Linked DNA regions of Drosophila melanogaster. The protein of the gene in region 2 purifies or fractionates together with the protein of the main gene of each other region. This does not show direct contact. Each region holds a gene or a part of one and is shown on either strand. Other genes may lie near its edges.

Region 1 (7,390 bases), on a different chromosome or scaffold from region 2:
CTGGAAGTGTCGCTGCTGCTGGAATTGCTGCTCGAATCGCTCTCGGCATCGCTTTCCCCCATCGCGCGTTTATTTCGAGAAATTTTCAGGGAAAACAACGATGAAAATTATTGGGCAGCAAAAAACACAACGCGGCGATAGAATTAGAGATGGGACACCAGTGGCGACGGTATCGATATACACATGTGTTTGACTGCTAAATCGTATCGAAATTGTAGTTTCGATAGTCAGCTATAGAAATGCTAAATGTGTTTTTTAAATTGAACTGAAAATTTAAATTCAAGTTCCACATTAGAAAAAATGATATTTTAAAATTAATTTTATAATATGGCACTATCGTAAATTTTATAGCACAGCGAACCTCAATATTTAAGGGCAACGATTTTTTTACGACTAAAACAGTGTAATATATTTGTTATAACATATTTGGTTCATTGCACTGCAGAAATTTCGAATATCAGCTCGAAAATGGAACAAGGATATGGAACAAGAACATTAAATTTGAAACGAAACTTTTTTTTTTTAGCGATTTTTGGGCTCCAAAACGGGCAATCGTGTTTTACAACATCATGCGTGCTTCCAATTAATTTTAGGATCTGTCTTAAGGGAATGAATTGAACCATTATTTTATTGAAAATTAAAAATGATAGCTTCATCTTGAAAATAGTAAAAAAGATCCTTTATCGCTCAGTTGAATCCCCTAGAAAAATAACTGGCGCACTTTCGCAACAAAACAACTAAATTTATTTTAGTTTACAAATTGTTTATCCATAGTAAATACTTTAAAAATAAGCTTTAATCACGACGGCCTACACTAAACAAGGACCTTTTGCAGAAACCTCTAGGCCTTGCTGTCCGGTTTGGGTGGAACAGTTTCCGGTACCGATGGCGACACGTCGTCGTCGCTGGAGGATGAAGAGGAGGACGAGCTGGAGTCGTCGGCCTTCGTCCGCTTCTCGGGGATCGTGTAGGGGAACTTCTGGGATTTCTCCTCCACCGCCTGTTTCAGACGCAGCAGAGCTGTCCTGTTGATGTTTTCCAAGGATACGTCCTTAATGGCATTGGCCAAGACAACCATGGCCTTGTCGGAGTTGCCCTTGGTAGTCTGGATGTCAATGAGGCAGGAGTACGCGTTTCCGATCGCGCCCTCGGAGATTTTGCTGTTCTTCAGCTGGGAAATGACTGTGGAGGCGAGCTTCTCGTCCTGCTGCTCGCGAGCCGTCTGCAAAACGCGCTGGAACATCAGCCTTGGGGCATTGGACAGGTGCTTATCCCAAATCTCCTTAGAAGCCGCCTCCTGGCCAGTGGAAATCAAATGCATCCACAGGACATTCATGGGTCCTAGTTGATTGTGAGCAGCAAACTTCTCAGCGAGGGATTGATCTGAAAATTATCAGAAAAATTTATAGTTTTAACACTTGTTTAATAGGCATTTCTGGGACCTACATTGCGGCACCAATTCCGGGTGTTTTTCCAAAATGCCAACTGCTCCTCCGCGTGGGAACTTCTCAGCCAGCTTGGTTGACTCCTCGGGAGTTTTGGCCGCATCGATTTCTGTGGTCAAGTGCTTCAGGAACTCCTCCGCCTTTCCGGCCACTATATTGGCATGACAAAACCGATTGTCAAAGGAAATCAGACGCTTCTGCTCGTCATTCAGCTGCTGGCCAATTCTCTGCATTGTTTCCAGATCGCCTGCAGCGGCAATTTTGTTCAGGTAAAACTTGAAGATCTTGGGCTGCGGGTGCAGTTTATCGCCCAGGAGCTCCTCGACATACTTGGTGGCCTCCGTTAAGCGATCAGCTCGAACCAGGAGCTCGATCAGTCGAGAGGTGTCCAAAGCTCCAATTTTCTCGCCACTCAGAACACTTTGTTTATGCGAGATGGCTGCATCTGGATCATTGGCCTGGATTGCCTTGCGGAAGCCGGACAAATGGGAGGCGGTTTTGGGTGGCTTTGCTGTTTCCGTTTTAGCTGGCTCCTTTTTCGCAGCCTTCTCCTTGGGCTGTTCTGCTACTTTAGCTGTTTCTGTGGCTGCTTCTGTTGTCGTTGCATCTTTCGCTTTGCTTTTTTTGGCCTTGGCTTGTTCGTTTTGGGTCTCTGGCACCACAAAAGGCACGTCAATATTTTTCTTACTCAGGATTTCTGCCAATTTCAAAAGGAAAGCATCGTTTGGTGTCACATTCTCCTCCTGCATTTTAGTCCACAGTCCCAAAGCCTTCTCCGCCTCATCTGCCTTGTCGTAGCTCAAGAGGAGCGTGTAGTAAATCTTATTCCTGTCGATATGTCCCAGGTCCTTCGTGGCTTCAATAAGACCTTCCAGCGGTTGCAGTAGTCCCTCATTCTTGTAACGATCACAGGCACTGTTTATTCTTTGCGGACGGGTACGCAGTCCGGGGGTTTCCAGGATCTTCCTGGCCTGCCGCACACGGCCGCACTCCACAAAGGAGAAGACCAGATCGTAAAGGCTGTTTACTTCACCATGGATTCCAGTGCTCAAGTCTGTTAACTTTTGCAGATTGGCAGCATCTTCTTTCTGTATTAGACGGCAAGCCAGCTCGTTCTTCCAAGGCGTGGACTTATACTTCTGGCAAATCTCCTCGAAGGCTTCGATTGCCTTGGGAATATCATCCTTGACCAGGTGAACCTTGATCAGTGGACCCAGCAGCACATTGGTGGGCACAATATAATTGGCCCCCACCAGTACGTCGAACAATTTGCGCAGCCTCTCCGGCTGACCGGCCTCGGCTAGTGAGTTCAAAATTCTCCACACGGTGCTCATGTAATTATAGCTTCCTTCGGCCTCGGCTACGGGAACTTCCTTCTTGTTCTCCTCCAGTATCTTAAAAGCAGCATCCACGCGTTCCTCTTGCAAGAGAAGATCAGCCAGTCGAACCGCCTTCAAGTTATCCAACTGGAAAGTGGCGTCCTTTGCTTTAAGTTTGCCATAGATTTCTAAGGCCTCAGAGCTTTTCTTGTGATGCGTGTTCAGATCGATGAGCTGGGCATAAATGCCAACGGGGATTTGGAATTTTTCGGCCTCGAGTTTCTCGATGACCTGGAGGGTCTTCTCCAAGTTTTGCGAACGGAAACAGGCGTTGAGGAGTTGCCTCTTGATGTTGTTGGCATTTTCTCCCTTGCCCTCCACATTCACAATGAATCGCTCGAGTTCTGAAAGAAAATATATAGATATTAGATAAGTATTTTAATAACATCTAACAACTTACCATTGATGGACAGCGAATCCAGGCTTCTCTTGCCGCTGTTTGGAAGAGGAACTGGCTCCAGTTCTCCCGAGCTAAGTTTACCCAGAAGTTCGGAAATCTTTGGAGTCAGTTCGGAACCCAACTGCTCGGATAGTTGGGTGGCTTTGTCACTGCTAATGGACAAGCCCTGCTTGACCAACCCTTTGAGGATTTTCTCCAACGTGGCCCCGCGATCGCGGCGGAAATAGGTGGTTGCCTCCTGGACTATTGCACCTACAACATCGGGAGTGATGCGCTCCGTCGGAACGGCAGCCACGCCTTCTACCTGCTCAACTTCCTCATCCTTGCCTTGCCTGAATTGCAATCCTTCGTGAATTTGGCGGACACATCGGATGAAGGAGGCATAATCGTTCGTATGGCTGAGGGCCAGAATCAAAGGTTGTTTGAACAAGAAGGGCACGTAGTAAGCTCTGTTCTTCTCCATAATCTTGGCTGCTTCGGCAATCTGGTGGGTCACTAATGCGGAGTAGACGGCCGAGGTGACAGCAGTGGAGTTGGGAACCCCAGCATCCCTCAGAGAGGTGACGATTCTTTCCCAGTTCTTTTCCTTCAAGTTGGGAATGACATAATCTCTGACCGTTTCGGAGTTGGGGAAAACTGAGAACTCCTGCTGCATGCGACGTACGATTTCCAAGACTTGATTAGATTCCGCGGAACAGATCAAAGGCCAGAAGTAGTGCTGCCTGATGGGCAAGCCAGCATTTTTCATTTCCTGCAGCAAGGGAAGCGCATTATTGATTACGCCATTGGTCAAGCCAGCTTCGGTGGCAATAGTCAGAGCCTTGGGATTAAGCCCCTCTGATTGCAGGCTCTTGCAGATGGACAAGATCTTCTCCACTGGCCGATTGGCCTTAACCATCTGCCTGATGAAGAAAGCTCCCACATCAACGGGCTCACCGTTCACACGACTGCTCCTTGGCATCACGCGAAGGAGCTTCAGCCCCACATCCTCGTGTCCCTTGTTGACCAGCCGAAGGATCACGTTCACTGCATCCTGATTAAAACCAGGCGAGAGACGAAGCTTGGTCAGAACGTCATCCACGTGTTCACCATTGCCGTTGACGGTAAGAGTGTACACAATGTCCAGCAGATCCTTGTCCAGCAAAATGATCTCCTTCTGCTCACACTCAGCTAGGGTTTCCTTTACGGCAGCCAGGTCTCCGTGGCGCGCAAAGGCGCACAGGAGAGTGGTGTAGGTGTCAGCACTGGGCTCCAAGCCGGCCTGCATCATCACTCCCAAGATACCCTTGGCGGACTCCAAATCATTGGCCTAAAGAATCGTTTAAAAAGTAATTTAAAAACATGGCTACCACCTATCTATTTCTGTATGACTAACCTGCGAGTGACCCAGGATAAGTGAATTAAAGACATTTTCGTTGACGGGTAGACTTTTGGCGCGCATGAATTCCAGAATCCTAGTGGCTCCTTCAATGTCTCCCTGCTGACAATAGCGAGCAATCAATCGCTGATAGGTCACCCTATTGGGCTCGATGCCCTTCGCCTCGATCTCTGCCAGAAAATCGGTGGGAGCAAACCCATGCTCGTTCTCCAGGTAAACGCGAAGCAGGGCATTGTAGTGCGAGATGTCCATGGGTACATTCAGCGCATTCAGCGTCTTCCAGATCTCCTGCACCAAGGCAGTTCTGACCTCGGGAAGCTCCTCCGGTACCAGGTTGCCGCAGCAGCGAATCACCAGCAGCGATTGCGAGCTGGTGGCCGTCCTGTGTGAGCGGATCTCATCGAGCACCTCCTCCAGATCGCGTCTGGAGATGCGCCCAATGCGACGAACATCCTGGTCCAGCCGGCGAATCTGTTTATCCAAACTCAACTCAGCTTTGGCCGCCGCATTCGTGGCAAAACCACTAGGAAGATAATTAAAAATAAACTTAATTAATATATAAAGATATATGAATTAACAAAATCCTAACGTCCTTATAGATTATTTTCCGGCTGACCTTAATGAGAAACTGAGTTGTTATAAGATAATCGTGTTGCTTTTTGAATAAAAATAAGATATTTAGCTTCTTTCTACATATATAACTAGACTTTCTACAAGAAAAACGCTCGACTAAGGCCAAAATTGGATGAGCACATAGTAGGCGCTCCAAATCCGGATGAGGTTATGTAAATATGTGAGACATCAGTCGAATGCAACTGCGATGATCCCAAGTGGCGGCACGTGCGCCTCTTTTCGGGATTCAATCGCTGGAAAGTGGACGATTCCCCACTAATCACGTAAATACATGAGCACATTGCGTAATGCCGGCGATTTGGGGCCAGATTTTACTCACTTTTGGAACTGGCCGCACATGCAGGGCGCATTGTTCAGCAGATTGCTCGTCTCGTTCTCGCGAACCGAGTTCACCAGCACATTGCGTGTGAAGCCGGCGAAGTAGCGCAGCAGTTTGCCCGTCCTCAGGATGGATGCCATGGCGGAATCGTTCGGTTTTAATTAATAAATGAGCTTATTATTAAAATGACGTTCGCACGAGTGCGGCTGAAACCGATGTCTCTTCGCGCCTATCGATGTTTACCTGCGACAATCGATTGTTTTCGGTGGGACCAAAACGTTCAAATCAAATGTATCAGCTTAGCGGTGACACAAACGAGAGGATATTTGAACAGTGCCTAAGCCTGTCAGCTTAACCGATTTAATTTGCTTTTTTTCGGATCGGAAACTCTAATCGTACCCCGTATATACTTGAACTAAAATGTCTCTGAATCTGCAGTACGAGGACATTGGCAAGGAATTTGTCCAGCAGTACTACGCCATATTCGATGACCCGGCGAATCGGGAGAACGTGATTAATTTCTATAACGCTACCGACTCTTTCATGACCTTTGAAGGCAACCAAATACAGGGAGCACCCAAGATTCTGGAAAAAGTTCAGAGTCTGAGCTTTCAGAAGATTGCCAGAGTGATAACCACAGTGGATTCGCAGCCAACTTCCGATGGCGGAGTTCTGATCATCGTCCTTGGAAGACTAAAATGCGATGACGATCCCCCACATGCATTCTCGCAGATCTTTTTGCTGAAGCCCAACGGAGGATCCCTCTTCGTGGCTCACGACATCTTCCGTCTGAACATCCACAACTCTGCCTAGGAGCACTCCAGACCCATATGTACACCACACATAATCGACATCCAAAGACGCCCAGCGCCTAATAGTGATAACATGATAACAACAGCACGGCAGTGGGACTCAGAAAAAAGCAAAACAAAGCCAGCCAACGGTCTCAAGATCGTCAGCGAATACAAAAGTTAATACAAGACAAACAAAAAAATAATTAAAAAAAGCTTAGGACTTTTATTTTGAAAACTTTTTCGAGAAATAAAATAGAAACAAATCTTTTCCCAATTCACAAATAATGGGTCACATTGGAATTTTGAAGCAATAGTCTTTAATATTTGTAGTCTTCATACGATGCATGTTTTATTCTAGCTTAATTTTTCGGAGCTGTCTTTGTGTTTGCAATGCCAAAAGTGCGCTGTAAATGCACCGCAAAGAAAGAGAACAATCCACCTGACTAAGAGAAACTGCATGCTCCCTATTCATTTGCTGCTATTGCGGAGCGTCATTTCTGCAGCAGACGCCGCCGTTGACGTCGGCGTCGACGTAGCTTTCTTTTGTGGCGAATTTGGAACTGGAAATTGCATTTCATTTGCAAACGTATCGTTGCACACGGCGGTTCGCGAATCGCGCTTCCTCTTCCCGCTGCAGCTGTGTGCGTGTTGTGGTGTACTCGTATTGGCAGCGCGTATGTGTGTGCGTAACTACACTGCAAATTGTGACGGATTCTTGTGTTCCTCAGGGGGAAATAACTTGCGTTTGACAGGTGCGATCTAGTGTGCCGTCTCAAAAATGAAAAAAAACGATGTCTGGTTGCATTCTCTATTTGCGCCACTGGTAAGCGAGAAAATTGATTAAAATGCACATTACAAAGGGGGAAATATATTTTAAAAAAAATATGTAGCTTAAATCTTAAGTATTCCCGTGTGTGTGTGTGTGTGTGTGTGTGACAGAGAGAACGAGAAGGAGAGAGAGAGAGAACGAGAGAGTGCAGCCAGAAATTGCAATACACACAAACAAATTGCCACGCAAAAAGCGGCCGGCTTGCCCTCCCCC
Region 2 (8,227 bases):
TGCCCGATTACTAACCGCAATTGGCGAGGACCTTCTGCAGCGGCATGTCCTTGGGCAGCTCCTTGGCGGACTCGTCCAGAGCCTGGGCAATCTTGTAGTGACTGTTCTTCTTGGTCCGCTTGTCCTGCTCCTCGCTGCTCCCGCTTCCACTTCCGCCTCCGCCGCTCAGCGCCGGCAGCTTGCGGACGATCTTCTCGATGGTGTCCCGGTATCTGTCCACCTGCCGCTCGATCGCCTCCAGCTCCGAGTCCTTGCTGTCCGACTTGCTCGATCTGCGAATGCGAAAAGGACCATTTTGACACGGGTTTAGCACGGGTTAGGTCATCATCGGCAGTCCACTATTGTTACGGCTGTCATCGCGCTTTGTTATTGATGCAGTTGCTCTGTGGCTGCTTCTCTGCTGCTTTTGTTGTTGTTGCTGCTGCTGCTGTTGCTTCTTTCGTGATGAGGCAACACACACCTGTCTGTCCACCTGGAGCGCACTTACACAAACACACACCCACAGACATCCGACCGACAGACTGGCTGGCCTTTGAACTTACCTTGACAGATTTTCGGCTGCTATTTTGATTTTGGCAAACTGCCTCTTCATCTTGGCTGATTCGCTGGTGCCGCTCGCGTCTCCAACTTGAACTGAACTGCTGTGTGTTTGTTTGCGATGTGCAATTAGCTGGGCATTGAGTAAATACTTAAAACAGGCAAATTAGTCATTCTTCAACGATGTTTTACGGAAAAGTGAGGCGGGTGTGACCGCAGCGGGAGCGCTGGGAAATGACAAAAGGCTGGAGAGCGCCTTTTTCGAAAGTTCGTATTTGGTAACACTGTTTGATAAATGCCTGTTGAGATTTCTCAGAGCTTAGGCTAGAATTATGAATTTAAGCAATGGTTAATTAATGTTTATTAAATTTCAATCTCCTTTAATCTGAAACCATTGCTTAAATTCGCTGAATAGGGGAATACCCCTTACTACTTGTAGCGGTACCAGACATTTGCGCTAGGGTAACCACTGTCGAAAACACCCGAATTCTGTGGGGTCACACTGAACTCGACCGCCTTGCTTAGCTGCACGTGTGCGTGCGTAAATAATAGTTTTATTGTTATTTTACTCTCGAAAATGACCCAGGCGGAGATCGTGAAATGTCTGCGGGAGGAGTATGAAATCGAACACAACAAGGATCAGAAGCCGGAGAAGGAGGACCTGCCCGCCATCACCAAAAAGTTCTATCAGCGAGTCTTGGAACTGCTGACCATTCACAAAGTGCCCTACTCCAAACAAGAAGGTGAAACCATTAATGAAAAGCCTTAAATCTTTAACTTTATCGTATTTCCTACAGATGAGGAGACCTACGAAGAGTACCTGCTGTCGGACACGGAGGAATCGGGAAACAAGAAAAAGAAACAACAGGGAAAACTGAAAAACCAAGACTCCGACGACGAGGATGTAGAGGCACGCATTGCCTCCATCAAGAACAAGCTGCGCCAGAAAAAGGGACCCACAACGGAGCGACAGCAGAAGCGACGCGAATCTAAAAAGCTTAAACGCAGCAAGGGCGTCCAGAAACTGCTCCTCTCCTCGGCCAAAAACCTCAAAAACGAGAACGTCAAGCACCAGAAACTGAAGAATGGCGTGGTGAAATCAGAACAGGAGACGGAGGACAGCAAGGAACAGATCCAGCCGGTCAAGGTGCAACCGGTTTACAACCAGGAGGCCAAGATCGTCTACTCCAAGGTGGACTTTGCCGCCAATCCTGGAGGCAAAGCCAAGAAGTCTCACCAAAACCCCAAGGAGATTCTGAAGAAGCTGCGCGACACCAAGAAGCACCTAACCGAACTGCGCGAACAGGGCGAAACGGACAAGGCGGCGGAGATCCAGACGGACATCGCCTGGCGCAACGCATTCGACAAGGTCGAGGGCAAGAAGGTCAAGGACGACACCAAGCTGCTGCAAAAGGCCATCAAGAAGCGGCGCGTGGAGAAGAAGAAGTCCAAGACCAAGTGGACTGAACGCAAGCAGAAGGTGGAGCACGACAAGGAAAAGAGGCAAAAGAAGCGACAGGAGAACCTGGAGAAGCGCAGCAAGGACAAGAAGAACCGGAAACTAAAGACGGCCAGCAAGAGGGGTCGCATCATACCCGGCTATTAACTATGCTTACTATAGCCCTTAAGTGTAAAGTAGTGTAAATGTATGCCACGTTGAAATTCAACTCAGAATGCTTTAGAAAAAAAGTGATCTTTCTGAAATTTACGTTTTTATACTTTCGTGTTAGAAATTTACTTTTCCGGCCTCGACACAGTCAAAATTCCAGTAGACAGCTAAATTCCCAGTTCCAAGCCACACTATTTGGCTCCTCGTTTTTGTCCACTTTGTGTCACTTTGTGTTCCACTGTGCGTTGCGCGGCTTCACCAAAGATTGGCAAGAAGAAGAACGGCGAACAGCTGAGACCGATAACAACAATCGATTGATATCGTAATCGTTTAGTTGGATTGCTGCGATTTTTCCAGATTTTCCGAGTACTTACAAGAGACAAAAAGTGGATCAGATAATGCTGGAGACCCTAGAAATTTGTGGATCTTTTAATACAGTATAGTGACCGATTTGGCAAGAAGAAGCAGAGCGAGTGGGGCAGCCAAAACAACGAGAATCACACGCACGCACACAGCCACAAAAATTACGTGCAGAGCGCAATCTATTCCCCCCATTTTCCACCGAAAATACAGCAAGGCAGGCGGAAAATCATCCAAATTGCGACGCACTTTGGCGAGCGACGGATAACCAACAAGTGGATATAGAAAAGCAATCCCTGCAAAGCGAGGCATCCCCAGCAGAAGTCACAACAATAACTTTGCAGATCAGCAGAGCAAGAAGAAGAAGCGGCCGCCAGCTGAGTAGCAAATCGGTGCAAAGCAGGGGCGCAGGGGAATCCGAGTCCAGGAGCAACTGCAGCGGGCGCGGAGGAAGCGGTAGACGGAACAGAGGCACAGAGGCGGCGGGCAGCAGCCACCATGAGCATGGTGCGGCGGATTATCCTGCTGGGCCCCAAATACAGTGTGTGGGCAAAGGGTAAGTGCTGTGCCGTCTTGTTGTTGTGCTGCCAATCGCATACGTAACTGCGTCATTAGCCGTGAATCGACAACAACTGGCAATGGCAACTAAAAAACAGCCTGCAGTTTACCAATCTGCATCGTAATCCCAACGCTCCCCCCGCCATTTGGCTTATCAGAATTTTCTAGCTTCGGTGCTCGCTGACACTTGTCTAGTGTCAAACAACCAAAACACTGAATGAAGGTCGTCTTCTTTTGATACCAAAAAGCTGCTGCTCGCGGTCAACGGGCCACAGTGGCGTCGCTGAAAAGGGGTTTCACCCAACTGATTTTACATTCACGCACTCACACGCATCTGATTGGAGGCCACCCCCCTTGCCGTTTCCAATCAGACAAGCGTGGCTCTTGGACCAACTGAACTTGAATTGTTTTATAAGGCCCGAATGGCCAGTTAGCGCAATTACTGCTATTGCCGCTCTGACGCAATGATTTTTTGTTTTATCATTACATGTCTGCAGTGGAGCAATTTCTTACACTTTTTTAATGGCCCACAGTTGGTTATTATATTTGCTGGCCTGCAAGTTAGGAAAGCGAGAGCCGGAAGTTTACCCAACACATTTCACTGAAAAAAACTAGCCGAGATTGTTTTCTACTGTCAAATTCACAGCACCTGTGAATTCCGAGATTAGCCATTATCAATTCCCTGCTTGATTGGCACTACTGCGAAAAAAAGGTGCGAGTCATCTGCGATATCGGAAGATGCTAATTGCCCTTGGCCTCCACTTGTTAGTTTGTTTTTGTGGGCCAATCTAGAGACTCTGTTCCCCGGATTCCCTTTGTTGTTATCAATTGCCTGTGCTTCGGAAAGCATTAACCCCACACATGGGGTCGATGCTTCCATTTTGTCTGCTTTGTGCACGAGACACAATTTAAATCTTTAGAATCCATGCACAGTGGCTAAAGGTCTCAGATGACTTCCAATTTTTATTTAAATTTGTATGCCATTAAAAACAGTTTCCAATACTTATACATGTACTTTCCATATCCAGGAAGCGGAGCTGGTCAAACACATGGCTCGGCAAGATGCGTTATCCTAAGCGCAGGTTCTGCGGAGAACAGCGACTGTGGCGTACGACGCTTTCACCTGGCAACGCGGAACTGCGCGAGGAATCGACTGATGAGACTGGAGCCCGCGATGGCAATACCGGCGTATATTGATGTAACTAACGCACACTCAAGAACGCCAGAGGACTCCAGCGAGAGTGGGAGCGGCAGCGAAGGGGGAGCCAGTGCGTCGGGAGGTAGTGGAGCGAAGAGCCCCGGCGGTGCGGCTGGGTCTGGAGCAAGTTCGACCAGTGGTGCCGATCCGCCAGGCGGTGGCAGTGACAAGTTCCTCTCGTGCCCAAAGTGCGGCAGCGCCTGCACCCAGGTTGAGACCTTTGTCAGCTCGACGCGGTTCGTTAAGTGCGCCAAGTGCAACTACTTCTTCGTGGTGCTCTCGGAGGTGGAGACTAAGCAGCGCACCAAGGACGAGCCCAAAAACCAGCGCAAGCCGCCACCTCCGCCACAGAAAATCATGGAGTATCTGGACAAACACGTGGTGGGCCAAGATTTTGCCAAAAAGGTGCTGGCGGTGGCCGTCTACAATCATTATAAGCGCATCCATCACAATCTGCCGCAACTGCAAAACCAGGGAGCGGGTGCCAGCAATGGAGCCGGTGGCGGCCTAGATGGTATTCCTCGGCCCGATCTTCTACACATCACCGGTATTGGTCACACGCTGAACAGCTCCCCGGGCAACGAACTGCCACCAAAGTCGCCGACTCAAATGGGCATGGGCGGAGGAATGGGAGGACCTGGACTTGGAGCAGGACTAACCGGCGCATCATCTAGCAATGCGCGTGGAGGTGGCGACAACCGGTCCGGATCAGAAATACTTGACCGCCAGTCCACCGATGTCAAACTGGAGAAGAGTAACATTATCATGTTGGGCCCCACGGGATCCGGTAAGACGCTGATCGCCCAGACGATCGCCAAGTGCCTGGATGTGCCCTTCGCCATTTGCGACTGCACCACGTTAACACAGGCGGGCTATGTGGGCGAGGACATCGAAAGCGTAATTTCAAAGCTTCTGCAAGATGCCAACTACAATGTAGAGCGCGCACAGACGGGCATTGTTTTCCTCGACGAGGTGGACAAAATCGGTGCCGTCCCCGGAATCCATCAGCTTCGTGACGTTGGCGGCGAGGGCGTCCAGCAAGGCATGCTGAAAATGCTCGAAGGCACAGTGGTCAACGTGCCGGAGCGTAACTCCCCGCGAAAGCTGCGTGGCGAAACGGTCCAGGTGGACACCACAAATATCCTTTTCGTGGCCTCTGGTGCCTACACAGGACTGGACAGGCTTATCGCACGTCGTCTCAACGAAAAGGTAAGTTAGCGATAGTTACTCAGACTTCGCTTACTAATTGCATCTTAATGCTTCAAGTATTTGGGTTTCGGCATGCCATCGACCAGCGGATCTGGCCGTCGTGCAGCTCAATCAGCCGCCAGTCCCATGGACAACGACCAGGAAGAGCGTGATAAATGCCTGACCAAAGTGCAGGCCCGTGATCTCGTTGAGTTCGGCATGATACCGGTAAGTAATCGGAGGTTCAAATATAACTCCGTAGACATACATTGTAACTATTAACATAATTATAAGCTAGCAGATTTTATTATATTAGTTACTCATTTTGATTATTTTAAAACCCAAATTGTTGTGCAGGAATTCGTTGGACGTTTCCCGGTTATCGTTCCCTTCCACAGTTTGAACGTTAGCATGCTGGTGCGCATCCTAACCGAGCCGCGAAACGCTCTAGTGCCGCAATATAAGGCACTGTTGGGTCTTGATGAGGTGGACCTTACGTTCACCGAGGATGCTGTGAAGTCGATAGCCCAGCTTGCAATGGAAAGGCACACTGGAGCTCGTGGACTGCGCTCTATAATGGTAAGATATTGAATTTGTGAGACACATATGGCATATACCTAAAACATGTTTATAATCCCATCCAGGAACAACTGCTGCTGGATCCCATGTTCATAGTGCCTGGTTCAGACATTCGGGGTGTTCACATAACCGCCGACTATGTTAAAGGCAGCGCCACCCCCGAGTACAGCCGCGATGCAGACGCCGCGGCATCTGGGACTGTTGCCACGGATTCCGATACCACAACCGATAATGATAAGAACTTTGAGAATAGTGAGAAAGTACGACTAAAACAGTAAATCAAACAGAGATACCCACATCCAAAGCCAACCAAAACAGAAATCGAGACAACACTTGAACAAAAGAGAAAACTTTCAATTCGCAACGCTTTCCGAATTGCTTGTTCTTTGCAAACTCTTTTGTCTTCTATCCACTACTGTTCAGCTTGTTAAACTCGTCCAGCTGCTTAATTTCGAATCGTCAGCGCTAATTTCTCGCATAAACACAATTTAATGTTGAACCCTTATGATACTTTCATTTGCCCACTCTAACATGTATATTTTTTAGTCTGGTTTGAATGGTAAATTGATTGGTGCGTCGTAGATCCCTACCTCGAACCTATCACTCTGTAAAATATGAACCGCTGAGGAGTGTATACATTTATAAAGAATGTCCTCAATCCCCAAATGCATCTGTGATTCATAAACGACGAGCAGCGCAGTCTTTTGAGCCCGAAGCAATTGTAAGTGGAACAACAAATCCTAAAGGGATATTTAAATAAATGCCACAGTTTCTTAAACATTATATTACACAAATATCGGAAATCTGCAATGTTGGCAATGATGTGGTCCATTGGCGCTAGGAACCTCTTTTGCATATAACAATTATATATACAAACGTAAACGTATATTTAGGCAAATTTTTGCATAGTCTAAATTGAGTTTCTAAATGAGTTCTTGTAGCGTTGTAAAGATGACAAGCGAGAAGCACGTTCTACCTTTAACTAATTTAAGTTGAAAAAAACATTTTTAAAACAAAAAACAAATAAAAAAAAATGAAAAAATTTAAAGCTGGATGCTAATTTTCTTGAGAAATCGATATGCTTTTTGTACGCCAAGGGTTACTAATGTAAATAACATGGCAAATTTAAATTTTTAGTTTTCGTTCATTTTATTTTATTCATCATTCAAATTCAACTAAGTCTGCAGAACTCATAATAAATAATTTGAATTTATTGCACATAATGGACTAATGGTAGTTCCTTCTTTTTGTTTGTTTTTACGTTTCCTTTTCATCTCGTAGTATATAAATTTGTATAAAAATTTGTAAGTTAATAAATATCTTTTGGCGACCCTTAATCGTTTTCCTCGGATATGAGCAGTTCGTATTCCTGTGCCGCAAACCGATCCCAATCGGAGGTCTGCGAAATAGATAATAACATAATTAATAATTATATTAATTAATTATTCTAAGTACCACTTACATATTCGTCACGCTGTGAGGCAAACGGATCTCGTTGTTCGTGATCTAGATACTTCTCCAGATTGAAGAAGGTATCGAAGAAGACGTGCGTCATTTTGCATCGTTTCAAATCGCCCAGCGTGATACAGTCCCGATTTGCTGGCTTGATCATATCTAGCATCTAATATAAAAAAATTAGATTATCTTCCTTCAATCGGAATTGAATATCCGATCCTCACCTGGCACAGGCAGTCCTCGAAAGGCAGGCACTCAATGCCGATTCCCTCCATCCTTTGCTGCTGCTCCTCGTAGAAGTATTCCAGTTCGTACATGGACAGCACTCCATCTCCGTCGACGTCCATACATCTAAACCAGTACTCGATGGCCGTCGGCGTCCGTTTGTCCTCCTCCGAGAGGATGAACCACACAAAGTCCGTGTAGGACATCTTGGCTTCATCTTCCGGCGCCTTTTTGTTATCGCTGCGCGTTACACATCCCGAGAAGATTCGCTCCACGATGCGCGATGACAGGGCATGATCGCTGTGCTTGGCCAGATCCTCCTGGTTGATCAGCAGGTCGTGGTCCTTGTCCAGTTCCCAAAACTTGCAGTAAATCACGTAGAAGTGCTCGTAGCTAAAGAAGGCCATTATCTGATTGATGTCCTCTTCTTCCTCCAGCAGACTGATCATCTGTGGGCGGGTTTCCAAATGTACATTATGTATTTCACAACAACATTGTTATATTTATATTTTTCAGAT

The links.
Region 1: the proteins of ClpX (region 2) and bsf purify together in Drosophila melanogaster (affinity purification with western blotting, with the first as the bait; one study listed by BioGRID). This does not show direct contact.

Annotation. Positions count from the first base shown.
Region 1 is NT_033779.5:18,448,793-18,456,182, forward strand, and holds bsf (bicoid stability factor), read right to left. Parts: upstream 5,796-7,390; 5' UTR 5,695-5,795; coding exon 5,555-5,694; intron 5,126-5,554; coding exon 4,600-5,125; intron 4,534-4,599; coding exon 3,225-4,533; intron 3,169-3,224; coding exon 1,447-3,168; intron 1,384-1,446; coding exon 842-1,383; 3' UTR 725-841; downstream 1-724. Other genes in the region: ncm (nucampholin), read right to left, coding at 1-62; Ntf-2r (nuclear transport factor-2-related), read left to right, coding at 5,975-6,367.
Region 2 is NT_033777.3:19,897,676-19,905,902, reverse strand, and holds the start of ClpX (caseinolytic protease chaperone subunit), read left to right. Parts: upstream 1-2,213; 5' UTR 2,214-3,004; coding exon 3,005-3,062; intron 3,063-4,092; coding exon 4,093-5,471; intron 5,472-5,528; coding exon 5,529-5,678; intron 5,679-5,807; coding exon 5,808-6,029; intron 6,030-6,094; coding exon 6,095-6,289; coding exon of another isoform or gene 6,290-6,307; exon of another isoform or gene 6,308-6,575; coding exon 6,576-6,611; 3' UTR 6,612-6,750; exon of another isoform or gene 6,751-7,362; coding exon of another isoform or gene 7,363-7,428; intron 7,429-7,491; coding exon of another isoform or gene 7,492-7,650; intron 7,651-7,708; coding exon of another isoform or gene 7,709-8,158; intron 8,159-8,227. Other genes in the region: RhoGAP92B (Rho GTPase activating protein at 92B), read right to left, coding at 16-272, 543-592; Surf6 (surfeit 6), read left to right, coding at 1,115-1,280, 1,335-2,143; CG4733 (uncharacterized protein), read right to left, coding at 7,363-7,428, 7,492-7,650, 7,709-8,158.